Tribolium castaneum: one gene and its partner. The protein of the gene in region 1 interacts with the protein of each later gene in a pairwise test. Links are inferred from orthologs where the notes say so. Each region holds a gene or a part of one and is shown on either strand. Other genes may lie near its edges.

Region 1 (4,471 bases):
CGTACTTAAATTACTAACTTTTTTTTGTAAAATTACTTGATGATTTTTACCACCAAGATCTCCGAAAGTTGTGACGATCACTTAACTTAGTCTGAAGTTATAAAAAAAATACATCAAATTTATAGTTACATGCTCAGATGTTGCACAATTTTTTTTTTTTTTTTTTTTTTAGGAACCCAACAATTTGACAAACTTGAGTTCGTACAGATATAACGGCCTGATCCACAAAAAAACCGTTGGTATTGTGGACGCGCCTGATAAGAAAGGCTTTACTGTCGTGTACAAAAAAGCCAGTAAACAGGTAATTCAAATCCATGATTTTTTGGCCCATGTTTGATTTTTTTAATTTAGAATAAACCAAGGCAATGTATCGTGAAACGCACGATGAAATCGGGCCCCAGACGCTCTTTGGCCAAGCTTGAGAGGCTTTTGAAGGCCAACAAATACCGCACTGACTTGTCCAAGGCGGCCCTTCGCAGAGCCAGTGCCGTCCTCAGGTCACAAAAGCCCCTCCCCGCCAAAAAACCCAAGGCGAAGAAACCAGAATAAGAAATTAATAAAAATTTCGTATTAAAATTTGTTTGATTTTTCGAACATAACCTTACAAAATGGCCACGTCGGAACATTTACAATCAGCGAATTTTGTTAAATCGGTGCACCAAAAATTGCGAAGTGATGCGAAAATCATGGGGGCTGGTAACGCATGGCGTAGGCATTGTGAAAATGGGGAGAATCTTGCGAAATATGCCTCTGCCATGCAAAATTTGGCTACGAATCATTGGGAGAAAACTACAAACTCTAGGGCTGTGTCAAGAGTCGAGTGGGTGCATAGTTTTTGCCTCAAATATTTTCACGAAGAAATATTCAAACAGAGACAACGTGAGGTTGAAATTGCAACGAAACTTAACCTAAAAGTGCCTGATCTTGTGTTAGGTGTTAAAAACCAATACGAGTTATTGGATGTGGGGAGTTGTTTCAACCCCTTTGCGAAATATCAGTGTTTCAGTGTCACCCCCATAGACATAGCCCCTGCCACTAGTGATGTGTTAAAGTGCGATTTTTTAAATGTGGACCTAACTTCAAATCAGTATAACCTTCAAAAAAATTCGTTTGATGTGGTTGTCTTTAGTCTTTTGCTTGAATATTTGCCTTCACCGGATCAGCGACACACTTGTTGCGAAAAAGCCTACAATTTATTAAGACCAGAAGGCATTTTACTTATTATAACCCCCGATTCTAAACATGTGGGAGCCAATGCAAAAATAATGAAATCTTGGCGTTTTATTTTAGCCAAAATGGGTTTTTCACGCATCAAATACGAAAAACTAGCCTATTTGCATTGCATGGCGTTCAGGAAAAGTATCAAGAGTGAAATCGCGCAACGTTGGGCCCTTTTACAAATTGAGAAACCTTTTTACGAGGAAATTGTTATCCCGCAAGATTTTAACAAAATTGAAACACCCACGGGTGTGGTTTGTGACAGTGGTGATAATTGTGAAGTGTCTTTGTTCGAGGAATTGCCCCAAAGTTTTGAATAAATTTTGTTTTTTTCTTTGATGGTGTTTGATTTAATATGCCCGCCTAATCCCAAACACAAATTCCCCCAGATTTGTTGAAAATCGTGACAGTTGCAGGAAGAGGAGTGTTGTGTGTTTTGACAATTGTGCGTTTTTATTGTTGTTTATTTGCGTAACAATGAAAGAATGAGCGGGTGATTCATACCTCAAGTGCTTTTAATTGCTTTAATTAATCGAATTAACGTTAAAAATGTCCCTGAGTGCTAGTGCCGAGAACCTGACTGTGGAAACACAGGTGTGTCCCTTTTCCTTATAAAAGCGCCCCAAATCGGGCAACTGATTACAATAATTTTAAGGACTATGACGGTTCGAGCAATATGTGCTTAGAGTTGGCCTTGGAGGGCGAGCGTCTGTGCAAGGCGGGCGACTGCAGGGCAGGAGTGGCTTTTTTTCAGGCCGCAATCCAGGCCGGAACTGACGACTTGCGGACGCTCAGTGCTATTTACAGTCAGCTCGGAAATGCGTATTTTTATCTAGGAGATTATGGCAAAGCCATGCAATATCACAAACATGATCTCACTTTGGCCAGGTATTGACTAATCAAACGGTTGCAATTATTGATGGTGGCTTGTTTAGGACAATGGGTGATAAACTGGGCGAGGCGAAGTCTTCGGGAAATCTGGGCAATACTCTGAAGGTGATGGGGCGGTTTGATGAAGCTGTGGTGTGTTGTAAACGACATTTGGAGCTTTCGAGAGAATTGGGCGATAGGTTGAGCGAAGGCAGGGCGTTGTATAATTTAGGAAATGTTTTTCATGCCAAGGGGAAACATATCGGGAGGGTGGGGCACAAGGATCCGGGGGATTTTTCAGATGACGTCAAAGGGTGTCTCCAAGAAGCTGTCTCTTATTATGAGTAAGTTGGTTCACTGATAAGAATTTTATCACCGTGATAAGAAGAGGCTGTGCTTCTTTACTTTACTGAGAAGAATTTAAATTTGATCAAAGCTTGTGTTAAAGTAGAAATAAAATATTAATAATTTTTCCAAACTTCAAATGAGTTGTCGTGGACAGTGTGAAAATATAATTTTCTTGTCGGAAATATATTTTGACGTTATCTTTTTAATTTCGTATTTATGAACGCATAAAATCCCGCTATAAGCACACCTCTCGTATCAATAAATAATTCCCAGAAATACGATATTTATCAGTGGTCGCTTATTATTTCAAGGGAAAACTTAACACTGATGCGTGAACTGGGCGATATAGCGGCACAAGGAAGAGCTTGTGGTAATTTGGGCAATACGTTTTATTTATTGGGTGATTTCGCGCAAGCGATACATTACCATGAAGAAAGATTATCAATAGCGAGACAATTTGGTGATAAAGCGGCCGAAAGAAGAGCACATAGTAATCTCGGAAATTCGCATATTTTTATGGGACAGTTTGAAGAAGCCGCCCATCATTACAAGTAAGCCATTAGAGAAAAATAGCTAGAAGTGAAATTGTTTTTTTTTAGACGAACTCTAGCCCTGGCCCAGGAATTAGGCGACCATGCAGTCGAAGCTCAGGCTTGTTATAGTTTAGGCAACACTTATACGCTATTGAGAGATTACGAAACTGCCATTGAATATCATTTGAGACATCTTTTGATAGCGCAAAATTTGGCCGATCGCATTGGGGAAGGTAGGGCGTGTTGGTCATTGGGTAATGCAAACGCATCGTTGGGTAATCACGAAAAGGCGCTACAATTTGCCAAAAAACACCTCGAAATTAGTAAAGAGGTAAAACGATTTGTTATTGTTTTTTTGTGTAAAATAAAGTTGGGTTTAGTTGGGCGATCCAATGGGTGAAGCTACAGCGAAAATGAACATTGCTGACTTACGAAAAATCCTCAATTTGCCTGATAGTCCCGAATCGTGTGACAGTGATTCCCCGAAAGAGAATGACGTCACTCACCAGAGGATACAAAGGGTGAGACGTGAAAGCATGGAACAGCTTAGCCTGATTAAGGTAGTGGTTTATTTTTTTTTATTTTTGCGCTGGTTCTTTTGACGTAAGTAACTTTTTGTTGTGTGGCGTAATGTTTAATCGATTAACGTACGAGCAGTTATTTTTATCCGTTGTTTGGTTTTTGTGTCGCTAATTGCATTATGTTTGCAAAGAAAATTAAACAATAACAACGGAAATTTGCATTAAAATTATTACGTTGCTTATTCTAAACTACAAACGGATTTAAATAAAATATACTGAATTATTTCTTATAACTAAAATTTAAAATTAAAAATATAATTACAAACAAAAAATTAATCGAATTCTTGTTCCAAAACCACTTGAGATCCTACACTAATTTATAAACAGTCCGTATAATAACATTAGTATTTTTACTTTTGTTTTGAGTAAGTTTCGAATATGACTTATTTCAGTATTTAATTAATACTTTTAGAAAAAAACAGCTCAAATAAATCAGTTTGTGATCATAATATTTCAGTTTATTTCCACTCATAGCTTATGCAACAAGTGCTAAACACACGTTTAATTGCATTCTGTGTCACTACGGAAATTTTTGTTTGCTGCATGAAATTTGCTTGCTTCATAATCTCTAAATATTGTCATTGAAAAATCTGGCAATTTTCCAAGCTTCTTTCGTACTAAATAACAGACAAAATAAACAGCGATCTATTGCGCTTCACGATGATGCAAAATAGATCAATTAGTTGTGAACGCGTCGGTGTTTTGCATCGTCCAACAGAAATTTATAAATTAAACAACACTTGACGTCAAAACACCGACTTCCAGTTGACACCCGACGGCAAACAACGTCCCGGCTTCACACTTCCACCAATGAAATCAGCCCCGTCACCAACTAAAAACGAAGATGACGATTCCTTCTTCGATTTGTTATCCCGCTTCCAATCGAAACGTATGGACGACCAACGTTGTTCCCTCACTGTT
Region 2 (3,826 bases), on another chromosome or scaffold:
CAGACAAATCATAGACAAATTAAATAAGAATGTCTTGTTGCACAGCATTTGATGAAGAAACTGAAAATGTATTACTGTGCTAATTTTGAAAGTAAAGCTGAAGATTAATTTAGATTTCAAATTAATTACAGAAAATTTAAACCCAACAACTTTTTTCGGTATATAAACTTTTTTTTCATTAAAATTTATTCGTCTGTCAGTGAGTTTAATGATTGGACACATGGTATTGATATATCTATCCTCAGGTATTTGATAAGCACGCGTTCAAAGGACAGTCTAAATTTAAACAAAACTTTAAAAGTAAAACATAACCTTAATATTTAACGAAATTTTTAAGGACAAAAACAATGTCTTGACCAAAATTTTGACTTGGGGAATTCCGTTTAAAAAAGAACACACTTTAATTAACTAAAAAGTGCAGAGATAACAAAATTTTGTGAATAGTAACGATCTAAGCAACGGCAAAAGAAATGTTTTCTCTATTTATTTGATCCCCGGTATTCGCATGAAATTGAAGATTCACTTACTCAAAATCTCTCAAATATTCCATTACCTACATAAAATCATTTCCGAATTCTCACTTTCTAAATAAACGAATCTTGGTATGTGAAAAATATTGTAATAATTTGAAAATAATTGTGTGTAATTTTTGTGCTTTACTTTACTAAACTTTGTAAGAAATTGAATAAGCATAATAATTGTGTATTTGTTACGCTATAAATATTTTTTTGACGAGTGACTCCTTCAAGTTTTGGGACGTCGAGTCTACAAGGGGCGCTTAATCCGCTTCTGTAGTATATTCCATAATGTGGTTATCTAACATAGCAAGGGTGGGTTTAAAACAAATAGTTTCCTGTTCGTTACGTTATTAATAGAACCGTCAAACCAATTTTAATGGAATTTAATCTTTCATTACATCAAAGGAAAATTTCCGGGAAGCCTATTTTTGTAGGTGCATTAATTTTCCAACATTATTCCGCGATTTTTTCCTCGTTTAATTCCAAGCTCCAAATAGCTCAATTTGATTTGTCAAGTGGCACCGAGTGCTCTCAGCCTGAAAGCCAGTTAAAAAATTGAATGCGGAGGGTGGATTCTACCACCAAATCGCCGAAATCACACAATAATAAAATTTTCGCAAAGAAATGCGTTACTAAGTTCTGTGACAAATGTGTTTTACTCATTTATGTTGAATTTCATTCGTCGCAATTAATTCATCGCGCGATGACGTCAACGTATTTAATAATAATCAGTCGAAATGATTGTATCTGGGTATAAACAAACGTCACGGGAGTTATACCATATTTCATTTTATTGATTGGGAAAGTTTCTATTCCCTAATTTCTAACTTTATCATTGGAACTTTGCAGTGATCAATTTTTTCTGTTCCAGAACCGAATGCAGGAGAGCTTGAAGCTTTTCGATTCGATCTGTAACAACAAGTGGTTCACGGACACGTCTATAATCCTCTTCCTTAATAAGAAAGACTTGTTCGAGGAAAAAATTAGGAAGTCGCCTTTAACAATATGTTTCCCCGAATACGCAGGTATGGGTTTTGGTTGTGTTGAGTGATGATTTTTGAGGGCGCGTTTTGTTGAAGGTGCGCAAGAGTATGGCGAAGCAGCGGCGTACATCCAAGCACAATTCGAAGCGAAGAACAAATCGACAACAAAAGAAATCTACTGCCATATGACCTGTGCCACAGACACGCATAATATCCAGTTCGTATTCGACGCAGTCACTGATGTGATCATAGCTAATAATCTGCGCAACTGCGGCCTCTACTGAGAAACCTCTCATTACTATTCCTTTTCATACATTATTGACTTTAGTACATGGTTAAACCAAAAAAATACAACAGACATGGTAGTGCCGGTGTATTTGCTAAACGTTGCGGTATTTCTCGGCCAGGGGAAGTCCCGGCAACGTTTGCTGTTATAATTGTACCAAAGTTGAGTGAGATGTGTTCTTTTCTGTTGATCGATGACCTGGTTGGTGAGTTGACACAATACAAGGGGTAGCTTTCCTGTGCTTGATAATAACATCGGTTGACAAACAGTTTATTTTTCTGTCGATTTGTTTGACCTAATCTGTGCACAAAATAATTTGTATACAAGATAGTGTGCCATTAAGAAGAGATTGCATTTATCAACGTATTGTAGTTGCTTTCTTTTTCTTCTAAGTTATTGTTTTTTTTAATATATTACGGTTCAATGTTATTTATGTTTGTATAATTTTAATGAATGAAAAGAGCTATATTGCATAGATTTAGTTACCAAATTTGTAAAAACTAAGTATGTGTTAATGATAATGTGGAACCAAATTATTACTGTCTGGCTCAAGTAGCGTTCATCTACAATATGGTAATTAATATTAATTATAATAAACATTCTAACTATAAAGCCTACTTGTGTGTAATTAGTTTCGTCAAGTATAATACCAAAACATATTTTTCTAGATTTTGTTATTATACTTTACTGTCCGAATTGAATCAGGAAATTATGGACCTTTAAAGAACAGATGCAAATATAATATAATACATTAATGTGTACATAAAAACTATATGGCGCTTTAGCAGATTTGGAGTAGCTTCAGTACCATTTCGTAGTGTAGCCAGTGCATTTACTTTGATCATACTGTAATTTAATGACATGCATTTTAAGTGATACATTCCTCTCTCGACTATTTTGTATCTCCCATTTACGCTTTTTTTACAAGGAAACCAACAAATTGTAAGTGTATCTAATTATTCACTCTCTAATTCACTAAAGCAGACGTTATTTGAATACAATCATCCATTTTAGCGCAAAACTAGTAATTGTCGTATCAGTATATCAAAAGTAACGTAAAATACATAACTCCGACAAGTGGGCACTAAGCGACCTTTGTTCCTTGTTTAGAGTTTCGCCAATTTTGTTGTGTATTCTATGTTAATTTTGCGCATACAACCAAACTGTTATGTAAATTGTAGTATTTAATATCTGGTAGTATCCTATTGAGTCATGATTGAATCTCTAGTCAGTTTATTTTCTAATTGTGACTACGGCATTATAACTTTTTTGTAATTTATTTCAAAAATAAAATAAGATGTAACCCACAATTGTTTTAATGCAGGTTTATGTTGTGCGACATCTACACAGCTAGAGAAAAAGTAGTCCAAAATGGACAATTAAACTTGTAGGTAGGGTGCGGACAATTTTCTTACTTTGAATGCACAAAACGTGGACGAAAAAGTTGCTTTCCTATTAATTATTATCCAAACGATTTTTCACACATTTTTGTACTTGACGTCTCGTGGATTTAAGACATATCTTTCAATTGGTCCTCGGTTGTTTTGTCTTACTTCGACACGCTCATAACGCTACAATTACTATTATTATTCGAATTAAACCATGAGACTGTCCAAGTTTTAGCCACATGTACACGCATACTATTGACTTGTTGCTTTGTTGTGAATAAGACTAATTATAAGAAGATTATTAAAGGTACGGCGCTAGTTAAATGCAGTGAATGATGTACATGTTTTCCAATATCAGTAAATGTAACATTCATAACTGAGGTTGTTCTCTCATTGTATGTTTGTTTCTCTGTGATGTGAATACGATAAATAAATTTTACCCATTTCGAATTTTTATTTGCATTTGCAGGCTCCCAACAACCAGCTCAAAACCGTTGTTTTATTCGTGTTTCTAAAGGTTTCGAGCGAATTACCTTATTTCAGGCAAATTCAAACGGTGTTTTCAATCTTATTTTACGACATACTAAGAAAAGGCACCAAATTAGATTGTTTAGTACAAACGAAATTTCCTCGAAACATGTTAAGGTGCTT

Evidence for each region.
Region 2: the proteins of pins (region 1) and Galphao interact in a two-hybrid assay, tested with the Drosophila melanogaster proteins (3 studies listed by BioGRID, with this or other methods). The link is inferred for Tribolium castaneum from reciprocal best matches to the Drosophila melanogaster genes pins and Galphao.

Annotation. Positions count from the first base shown.
Region 1 is NC_087394.1:36,920,309-36,924,779, reverse strand, and holds the start of pins (G-protein-signaling modulator 2), read left to right. Parts: upstream 1-1,626; 5' UTR 1,627-1,767; coding exon 1,768-1,812; intron 1,813-1,873; coding exon 1,874-2,106; intron 2,107-2,153; coding exon 2,154-2,432; intron 2,433-2,747; coding exon 2,748-2,987; intron 2,988-3,035; coding exon 3,036-3,300; intron 3,301-3,349; coding exon 3,350-3,529; intron 3,530-4,315; coding exon 4,316-4,471. Other genes in the region: RpL28 (large ribosomal subunit protein eL28), read left to right, coding at 173-301, 352-549; Samtor (S-adenosylmethionine sensor upstream of mTORC1), read left to right, coding at 609-1,538.
Region 2 is NC_087396.1:19,010,094-19,013,919, forward strand, and holds the end of Galphao (guanine nucleotide-binding protein G(o) subunit alpha), read left to right. Parts: intron 1-1,389; coding exon 1,390-1,543; intron 1,544-1,597; coding exon 1,598-1,785; 3' UTR 1,786-3,625; downstream 3,626-3,826. UniProt on the Drosophila melanogaster protein: Guanine nucleotide-binding proteins (G proteins) are involved as modulators or transducers in various transmembrane signaling systems.